2 linked regions of the Caenorhabditis elegans genome follow. The protein of the gene in region 2 interacts with the protein of the main gene of each other region in a pairwise test. Each region holds a gene or a part of one and is shown on either strand. Other genes may lie near its edges.

Region 1 (5,519 bases), on a different chromosome or scaffold from region 2:
CAAGAACTCTTCTCGGCGAGAAAGAAGAAACAAACGTTGATTTTTAATTAAACACATTCCAGCTAATTATTATACGAGAAGCTATCGAAAAGGAGAATTCGAAAAAACTTTTGCGACAACTACACAATATGTGGATAATACTTTCAAATTTGGTGCCGTCCATAGAGTAAAGGTTTAGGATGTGGGGTTTATCATAACAAGCTACGCGAGGTTTATCTTACAAGCATTTATTAGTATAAAGGGACAGACGTATGGCAATGTCGCAACAAGTAAACGGGAGAAAGGAGCAATAAGACACGTAACTTATAAAAGGTTAAGAAATGATCCAGAATGAGCGATCCTCAGCTTATATATCTAGGCGTTCGGCGGTTAAAGGAGCAGCCTTTATCGACGATGGGTCTCGGCGCGGAGAATGCGACCACGGCGGCTGGGCGGCAATTCAAACGGGGACGCGTCGGCACCAGGGGTGTGCGGCGAATCGAATTTTTCGGCGATCGGCGAATTCGGCGCTCGCCGATTTTTGAAATTTTCGGCGAACGGCGAATTTCGCTCTGCGAGTTCGCCGATTCTCGTACGGTGAATTCGGCGATTTTTCGGCGAACGGCGAATTCGGCGAACGCCGATTTTCAAAATTTTCAGCTAACGGCGAACTCGGCGAATCGAAAAAATCATCGGCGAACGGCGAATTCGGCTAATATTCGCCGCACACCCCTGGTCGGCACGATGATTTGTGAAGGAAAAGGGCCTGATTCTTACAATAGAACTGCGATGAAACAATCATTTTCACAAGAACACATAAAAAATAAGAAACTTCTTCATTTCTCAGCGATCGTTAGGAAAGGAATTGTAAAATAGATAAAATAGGATACAACACGGAGCAAAACATAAAACAAAAGTGTGTTGTGAAAAAGTTATATTACAATGTATGAAAGTATATTTTACTGCTTTTTGCTCGAAAAAGCAGAAAAAATCGAATCCCGACGGTTCTTTTTCTTGGACTTCTTGATATTCTCCTCGTCTGCGGATGGCGAATTCGTACTTCCAACTTCAGAGGCGTACGAGCATTTTAGGTGTGGCTTCACTTTCTCGTTTCTGGCAGTGAGCACTCCAACTCTTTCCTTGGTTACTCCGGATGGTGTGAATGGTTGCTTGAACTCTCCAGCTGATGATGGCGATGCCAATTGGATAGATTCCGATCGCATCGACGAACGTTGAAGACTAGACCGGTCGAAGAAATCCAAAGAGCAAATTGACTCACGTCCATCGTACTGAAAATTGAACGTTCTGGACAATATTTGTGGTAAGAAATTGTCTCGTCTATATAAGAAATTGTCTCGTCTCACAAAATTGAGGTTGCATAATAATAAACTGATTACCATATTCGACTTGAATCCAATCGGTGTTCCTTTATCGAATTCGTTGTCGTCCACACTAGGAGCAATCGATTTTCTTGGGAACGTGGCAAGCTGTGCTCGCAATTCTTCTTCGGTAATTGTTGGTCCATTATCGGCGAGGAAGTCTGGCAAGCTGTCTGGCGAACCGCATCTGATTCTCGAACCTCTCATTGGAGCTTGTTGGAAGATTTCTGAAAAACAAGATTGAAAATTCAATTTCGAAACGTTAAATATGAACTCACTGATTCTCTCACCCATCCAGGTGGATTTCTTAATCTCGGCGCTTTCCTTCTCTCGAAGATCTGCAACTTCGTGCTCGAGACGTTGAATCAGATCCACTCTAGATTGAAGGAACAGCTAAAAAGTAAGTAATGTTGTATTCAATTTGATATTCAACAAGCAAACCTCTTTCTCCTCCAATTCGGCTTTATGCTTCATTACCACACTTGCGAAGTTTTCTTTAAGGGTGACTGTTTCGTTCTCTTTTTCCGCTAGAGAATTCTTGAGAATTGCCAACTTCTCGGCAAATTGAGCTGAGGCCTGATCGCGTATTGCCTTTTCATTCTTTATCAGATTGGCAGCTCGTTTGTTCTGCTCCTCTTGAAATTTGATGATATCGTCCTTACTCTTGCACGCAACTTCCAACTGCTCAATTTGTCTTTTCGCATTTTGAAGACAAGAACCCATTGACTGAAATTCTTCGTTGCTTTTATGTACAGCTTTGTCGACATTCAGGGACTTTTCATTCAGTTCATTCCAGAGATTCATCAAGCGCTTTTTCTCGTTCCTCTCTTCGTCAAGGTCAGCCTGAAGGCGTGCATTCGTGGATTTCATCATTTTCTCTCTTTCCGAGTGTTCCAAACGAAGAGCATCGATTCTGGAGTTGGCCATGCTCAACGCTTCAAGCTTTTCTTGTCGGAGTTTGTCCACAGTCTCTTCAAAACGCGCCAGTTCCTCGGAAAGCATAGTTTTAGAGTTGTCAGCATCTTGTTTGTTTCTCAATGAAGCAACACTCAACTCCTCAACACTGGCAGAAAGGCTCTCGTTTTCAGATTTCAGAGACGCTCTTATTTTTTCCACTCCGGTAAGTTGTTCCTGGAGGTCAGCCATTTGGTCCTGCGTCGCCCGAAGAGTCTCAGTAAGCTCCTGTTCCTGCTGACGGAATCTAGCGAATTCATAGTCGTTGAGATCTCGAAGCTCTCTGGCCTGCTTCATGAGCTTCCCATTGTCTTCGGTCACCGTTTTCAGCTTAGCAGTAAGATTCTCTTTCTTTATGTCAGCTTCCTCCAGACTTCTTTGCTCGGATCTCAACGTCATTCGAGATTCATTGAGTTGTTGGAGAATGTTGTGGACTTCATCCTTTTTGGCTTCGAGATCACAGCTCAATTCTTCAGCACGAAATTGTGCCTCCTCGGCGATACCTTTCAGTTTAGCGATGTCGCTTTTCAGATCGGAATTCCTAAAATATTTTCTCCATATTTTAAATTCAATGTACCATTTTACTTACGAAAGCTTCAAAGTTCTGTTCTCAGCCGATAACTTGGTCTTGTCATCTTCAAGGTCTCCTAACATTTGCTCCAAACCAAAGATTCTCGCTTTAGACTGCTTCAGCTCCCGCTCGCTTCGCATGAACTTCATGGTAGGGGAATCGACAGCCTCCGCTATAGGGCTTCGCCGAGCAGTTGAGGAAGCTGTGCGTAGTCGCCGGGCAGTAGCTGTTGGTGTTTGCAATGATGTCAAGCTGTAGTTGTTCCTTTTCGGAGTCCTGAAGCCACTGGATGCTTCCTGATCTTCGTCATCTCTCCGAAGACATGCCCACCAGTCGTCAGCGGTACTTTCCGAATACACGTTGTCGAAAAACAAAAACATATCAAGAAGCACAGCTGTGTCGACGCGATTCTCTGATGACGCTTGCTCCAATGCGCGAGTGAGCATTCCCGAGTGATCCTTTCTCATATACTCGAGAAACAGAGCGTAGAATTTGCAAATCTCCAGTGAATCTCCGCTCGCTGCAAGCTTCGGTTCCAATGAATCGGTCATGAAGCTGAGACTCGTTGTGGCGATTTTGCGGAAGATAACTTCATAGAATTTGTCAGCTGTGCCAAACTCCCGAGTGTCGCATGACCTGAAAAATAAAATATGAAATTGTTTATGAATGAGCTATTACTTACATCATACTGGCGATCATACTCCCGTGCCTCTCCCAAAGCTCGGCTAATGAGCTGATTGTCTCCGTCTTCGGTGTGAAATTGGAGCCAAAATAGTTCGTCAATTGTAGCATTGACTTCACAACTGATGTGCTCACGCTCATTCTGCAGAAGGAGTAATTATTCAAAGAAAATGCGAGTGGTTGAGCGAAAGAACGAGAGAGAACGCATACATAAACGAAGAATATTTAAAAGACGCACGCAGAATGTCTGCGTCTCTTACACCATGCTCGTACACTTTTCTCACGACACTTCTAAAAACAGCGGGAATTCAAATGACAATTTTTCCATGGACCTGCAGGTCAACATGCACAAGTCTACCAAAAAAATATTAAAAGGACGAATAATAAATAAAAATGAAGCTGTTAAAAAGTGGGATGACACACTGATTGAAATGAACATTAGAGGAATCTAACATGAAAAATAAAACCAAAAATGCGCGCGCGCGCGAAAATGGTTTCATTCTTTATTTATAAAACCATGTGAAAGATTATGTGCATGCGCCTTTTAAAAAAACCGTATACACATTGCTGAGTTTGAAATTATTTAATGAAAACAAAGAAAGAACATTCCTTTTTTAGGGGACAAAGTTAAGTGCGCCTTCCAATAAAATCTTTATTTTCACAACAAAAAATCTTACAGTAGCTTTCATTTCATATATGTTTAATACTTTTCGAGGAAACTTCTTGATTGTTCTCAAAAGAAAAGCTCTGTAATTGACACACTTTAAGTTTTCAGGCATGGAAAGTTGGTTTTGGTTCATATTTATTTAGCGAGAAGAATAAATAATTTCTTCTTAAAATCTCACCGCACCGTCTAAAAACTACTGCATTATTCTCAAAGTATGAAACCTTTTTCAAACTCTTGATTAGTCGTTTTTTTTTTAAATTTTCATTAGCTGATAATATCTGGCCATTTCGATTGGCTTCGCCCATATGGAGGTCGATTATGATTCATTTGCGATTCCTCTTAATAACCTTACACTTTGTTCTCAATATCAAACAATGAAGCAAACTGATACATATTTATGAAAGATTATCATGGATAAGAAAAGCAAACGGATATTTATTGGAAGCGTCCGAGAGTTATTCAATTGGCTTTCTGCACGTAGTAGCATCAATTTGAGTTACTTGGGTGAGGGTCATCATAACTTTTCTGCGATATTGGTTTGTATCATTGAAATAGAACGGGTTTCTCTCCAAGTATACAGTTTGAAGACCCTTTAACTTTGAAAGTTGCTCAATTTCGGAGAAGCTTTCCACTTTGTTGTCGTTTGCCTGCAATAATAAAAGATATAGAAGAAACGTAAAATGTCTCGGTTACCCAGAAATCATTAAGACTTTCTAGTCTTTCAACGCCACTGAACGTTTTGATTTCGTTATTTGCAACATCCAAAAGAAGTAAATTAGTCTGCAAAAAAGACCCATTTCTCAGTGTATTTTGAATTGCTTTTTACCAGAGGTTCGACGCCATGAATATCTTGTAGACCCTGATCACTGAGGTAAAGTTCCTTCAGATTATTCAGTTGCTCAACATTTTCAATTTTCACAATACGATTTCCCGGCAAGCTGAGAACACTGAGCTTCTGCAAGGTCTCCACTCCCTCCAACTGACGAATTTTATTTTTGCCGATAAATAATTCATCCAAATTTACAAGGTGACCAATGTTCTCGATTTTCTTGATTCTGAACACAATTTGTGATTTTGATGTTGAAACATTCCATATTTACCGATTATCTCCCAGTTCGAGCAGTTTGAGCTGCGTCAAAGCTTCTAAATTTTCGATTTTTTCAATTTTATTGCTGACAAGGTAAAGAGTCTCGAGCTTTGTCAATTTATCCAAGCCGTTGATTTGGCGTATTCTGAAAGTTATTATTGAAATAAAAGTTTCTTAAATTCTTCACCTGTTATAGCTCAG
Region 2 (5,035 bases):
CGATATGGTTTTCATATTACACAAGTTGTTCGCTTTTTCTTTCTACAATTCCAACAAAAAATTGCTCACCTTTTCCGGTAGTCCAATTCGATGAAATCGTCTTCCAATATTTGGATATCTTGATTGAATTCTCTCCTTCGTCCGTGCTTTCGCCCGGTCAATACGGTCATAGTAGAAAGTTGGAGCCGCCAGTTCAACCACCCCGGTTGGTGGTACGATTCCCAGCTTGAGCTTCTCATCCACAAGTGAAGCTCCAACTTCTGACAGGTATCCCTGCAAAAAGTAATCAGTTAGTCTTGGCTATCAAATTGTAAACATTTATGTATATCATGCATTCTATATGCTTCGGGATTTGTATGTACTTGACACCCCTCTTCCAAGTCCGCCTGTATAACCATATAACCAGCCAAATCGACACATCTACGGCAGGAAAATGGACGACGACTACACATAATTATTTCAGTAGTACGCTAAGCACTCATGCGCCAACACTACCAACAACCTAGGCCCTCCAACAACAGCAGCGCATCATCGAGTTGAATATTATTTCATCGTCCTTCTTTCCCCCGCGATGTGTTGTTCTTTCAAAGTCCATTGACCCGAAAAACCGGTAACGGCAACATACATACACATACACTTATGCCAAAGGGAATCATTACACTTCGCAAATCATTCAGTTTGTAATCCAAGAAGATCTGCGGATTTTTCGTTGTTTTGAGTAATACGTTTGAGTCATTTTCACATCAGAATGGGATAAATGTGCATCGTTACAAAATTCTTGCCACATTTTCTTCGTCGCAATTTTTGCTCTTCGACCGACTTAATTTCTAATTCGCATTCTTTGACAACCTTATTTTCGTCTCCCTTATGTGCACGTTTTCAACAACATTTTGCTCTACTAGAGAGCCTTTTTTCCCTTCATCGACACCAATTTCAATTGGCTGCCATTTCGAGAGCAGAGAAAAGTCATTGACTATGTTGTTTTCTGAGAATCGAAAATGAGTGTCGTGAAAAAATACGATGAGTGGCGGCGGTCAGCGCGGCGCAAAGGAAACCGGCGGCTCACAATTGCTTCGGACCAAGAGAGTAGCAATTATAGGAGTGAGCGAAACATTGGCAACACTGAGCGAGAGAGCAATTCTATTAAAGTCAATGGGCGAATCGGGGTGCGAACCAGCAGCACCTTTCCTAGAATAGCAACCAGAGCCAGTATTCTCTCGTCTCCTTCAATTCTTTTAGGTTTGTTCGATTTGAAAAATGCCACGAAAAATTGTTTGTTTTTGAAGACCAGATGTAATTTGGGATAAACTTTTTGTCTTAAAGGTGGATTGGCTTCAGTGGTTTAAAGCTGCTCATGTGGTGCCAAAATGCCAAAATATCATTGTAAAATAACAACATATTTCTTCTAATTTTCTACTCTAATTGGACTTTAATTATTTGTGTTTAAACATTCTAGCATACCGTAGAAACTGATTTTTTATTCAATTTGGAACTTTGCCTAAAACGTTGAAAAGGTGTTTTATTATGATATCTGATTTGTTTGAATGATTATAAAAAATTTAGATAAAATCCCCACTGACGCTATTCCACCTTTGAGGTCCTTTCAGTTGCAGTCTTCCCGTTTTTTCCAACTTTTGAAAACAATTTCCAAAACGGGCATAAAACCCCTGCAACGCCAAATCCCCGGGAAAATCTTGACAATGGTCGTTTTTTGGTGCGTGTATGTGGTCCGTGTCACTTTTTTGGACATGATGCCAGCCGGGCAAAGGACGACATGCCCATCAAACTTTCAAGCCAGTTGTCCTCCTTTTTTAGTGTGTGTCGGCTATCCTTTTTTGCAATTCTCGCCACACACACACACACACACACACCATCCAACAACAACTCTTTGAACCAAAGCAACAAACATTCTCTCCAGAAATCAATAGTGACAGGGTGCACATACACGCGCCAACCGGCGAACTCCTTTTTTGTCTTCTGGTCGCGCAAGCTTGACAAAGACATAGAATCAGCAGCGGCGGAACAACGAAAAAAGACACGTGAACGATTGAAGCAGACGAGAAGAGAAGAAGAAGAACGGCATCTGTTTAACGAGGGTAGAAACTTTCTCTTCATTGTGCTCGCAGCTCAGCCAATCACCTGCCCTTTCTATTCTTTTCTAAAACACAAATCCGGTAAGGTTTTCCTAAAATTGATTCATGGTCCCCCCAATGAATTGACATATGCATATATATCATCCAGCTTGGCAGCAGCTTATTTTCCTAACGTGAAGGTCGGCACATTTTCTCTCCCTCTTTCATTTTCTCGTTCAACGCTAGAAATAAATCGAAAGAGAATTTGAGTTCCATGTTTTAGGCGACATTCGGTCCCCTGTGAGTAGGAAAAAACATAATATGTGTTGTTTCGGCAATTTTCTTGTTCAAATGTTAGTGGGTGGAGAAGTAGATAAGGGTATTTCCATCACCTTATCAACAAAAAGCTTGTTGCGGAATCAAAGGGGGTTAAAATAACAGTTCGCCTTACTATCGCGATGTTTTTTGTTTCGAAATTCAAAAAGTGTGAAGTGAGTGTAGAGGATTATGTGTGAGACCGTCTTTCAAAACTAATGTTGTTTCCTCAAAATTTATACTTTTTTAGGGAATTAAATCTAGGAAAAAGTATACGATGTTCGTATAAGTACTCAGTCAAGCTCTACTTCCAAACAACTTCCCACTACTCATCCACCATTCTTACGCAACTTTTCAAAAAGATAGCAGCCATCATTAGGCAGTTTCCCAGAATTGAAGTGAGAAAGAGAGAGAGAGAGAGAGAGAGAGAGAGAGAGAGAGAGAGAGAGAGAGAGAGAGAGCACGGCTCAACCGCGGTCTTGTCCTTGCTGGAGCACAACGATCGGCCAACGTCGTCTTCTTCCCCTCTTCCGTATTTCGTTCTGGTCGTTTGTTGTTGTCGACAACAACACAGAGAGGGCGCCCTCCCAGATCGATGGCTCAAGCCACCAGAGTACGCGCGCCCCACTCCAAAGAAGGCGTGGCCCGTGGCGATGGGCAATGTTGATGTCGTCGTCGTCGTGCTCCACTCGCTCTTCTCCATCTCTCTGGCTCACACTCTGTTTACTTGTTTACCTCTTGCCTAGAAAGGGGAATGAAAAAAAAAGAGCAGGCCATCCGCGCGAGCCCGCTCAGCAAAAAAGTCGCAATTGTCCACCCTTCCTTCTCTTTTTTTTCCTCTTCGAAATCGGTGGAAAACTCCAAGGAAGCTCTTGTTTAAGTCATATTTACTATACTTGGTAAATAGGAAATGCAATAGTCACTAGTCACTGGAGCAATAAAATAATGTGTGCTCAATATTTTTCGAAAAACAAAAACAATTGAAGAATTTGTGTTCTCGATTGTTTTCGACACTGCCTTTTCCTCTACTAAAAATTCCTAGTAGCTAAATTTTCAACTTCAAAATTCACATGACTAGTGTACATACCTTTACTCTATTGGACTCTTCCCCCGGTTGCTATGCGACAAATAACGATTCCAGCTTACCCGCGCGCCCTCTCTCTCTCCTGCTCAATCTTCCCGCCTCATTTTTATATGTACATGTATATATTTGTCAAAAATTGGATGGGAGGGGGGGCGAACAAATGAAACATGCAAACAAAATACGTGTTTACAAGACCTCCGACCTACCGAATGCTCACACTCTTCACGACTTTCTTTTTTGAAATTCGATCTACTCAAAACATCCAGAGCGCGCATCTTTTCTCGCTTTCTAGCTCTCTCTGGCAACATGCCCTCCTCGTACACTAAGTCAAAGAAGATTTGAGATTAACTGAGATTAACTATTTCTTCAATATTTCTCCTATAATTGTGAATTTGTAAGTTCCAGTTACAAAAAATAACAAAAAATTTCAACTTCAAGTTCACTTGCGATTTCAATTTCAACATAAGTTTACCGCATTTTTTCAACATAAGTTTACCGCAGTTTTCTAAACAATCTTTTCAAGGTTTTTCGGGGCATAAGAAAAGAGCGTCGCCTTTTCTTTTTTCCATCCACCACATACTTCAATGAGGTGGAATGAAAACAGACTAGTTTCACTCTCTATTCCAACTGTTGCCATCTTCCTCGAAAAATAGAGAAAAGACGACCTCCGCGTAAACAATTTCCAAAACCTCAAGCAAGCTGCCAAGCTGCGTATTCCGGCGTCCTTATTTCGCTTTCCCCCTCAACATTGGCGGAGATAACTATTGCAGCATGCTGATGTGCTCCATTGGATGTTCTTCAGCTGTGGCGTGAATAGCAGCTCCCCAGGTCGTCAACTAGTTGTGAGCGAGTCGGTTTCGGAAGATAATCTACACAACCCATCATCACACGCGCTCCGAACCCTATCCCCGGTTTCACCACCGACAGCTAATTCTAGTAGTTCAACTAGCAGATCTTGCTCACCAGTTGTTCGTGCAGAAACTATCGTTGCTGGCAAGTGGACGCATATATCTGGAAAAGTTTCTGTTAGGCCATTGACGCCTTCTGAAACCGAATCGGTTCTTGACCGTCAACGTCAGAAAAATCGTCGATCTTCTAGAAAAGGTTTATGTGTGCTCTTGATATGTTTTCTTTATGTTTGACTGTTGCAATTTTGAGAATGCACCCGACTTGTAGATAGTTTGAGAAAAATTCAATTTTTTTTAAAATTTGAACCCTTTTTGCTCACTTTCAGTAGTTAGAAGTCTTGATTCATCTTTCTATTCCTTTTATAGACAAGCTCAAAATGTCGACTCACGACGATACTCGAAGCTCTGGTGGAGGAGACGGAACAATTCATATTCCGTCGGCAGATGCCAAGGAGCCAACTCCGGAGAGCCCAGGCTCTCGTTCCAACTACGGAGAATTCTACTGGTATGTATAAATTTATCAACTTTGCCGATGCATGCGCTTTGGCTTGGTGCAGAATCTCTCTCTTCGAGAAATTTTGTCACCAATGTCTTTATATAAAATCTCTCTCTCCCTTTTCACGCCACACATCTCTCCCGTTGTTGTTTTTTTTCTT

The links.
Region 1: the proteins of lfi-1 (region 2) and lin-5 interact in a two-hybrid assay, tested with the Caenorhabditis elegans proteins (one study listed by BioGRID).

Annotation. Positions count from the first base shown.
Region 1 is NC_003280.10:7,858,846-7,864,364, reverse strand, and holds lin-5 (Spindle apparatus protein lin-5), read right to left. Parts: upstream 3,707-5,519; 5' UTR 3,706-3,706; coding exon 3,566-3,705; intron 3,520-3,565; coding exon 2,902-3,519; intron 2,854-2,901; coding exon 1,800-2,853; intron 1,752-1,799; coding exon 1,637-1,751; intron 1,586-1,636; coding exon 1,377-1,585; intron 1,269-1,376; coding exon 939-1,268; 3' UTR 802-938; downstream 1-801. Other genes in the region: sds-22 (Protein phosphatase 1 regulatory subunit SDS22 homolog), read right to left, coding at 4,687-4,878, 4,925-5,011, 5,058-5,286, 5,332-5,463, 5,506-5,519. UniProt on the Caenorhabditis elegans protein: Essential component of the spindle apparatus required for spindle positioning and chromosome movement. Acts to recruit or anchor gpr-1/gpr-2 complex to the spindle and cortex.
Region 2 is NC_003284.9:4,979,322-4,984,356, forward strand, and holds the start of lfi-1 (Rootletin-like coiled-coil domain-containing protein), read left to right. Parts: upstream 1-1,918; 5' UTR 1,919-2,174; intron 2,175-4,241; 5' UTR 4,242-4,262; coding exon 4,263-4,575; intron 4,576-4,743; exon of another isoform or gene 4,744-4,745; coding exon 4,746-4,884; intron 4,885-5,035. Other genes in the region: ZC8.6 (Phosphatidylinositol 4-kinase type 2), read right to left, coding at 70-273.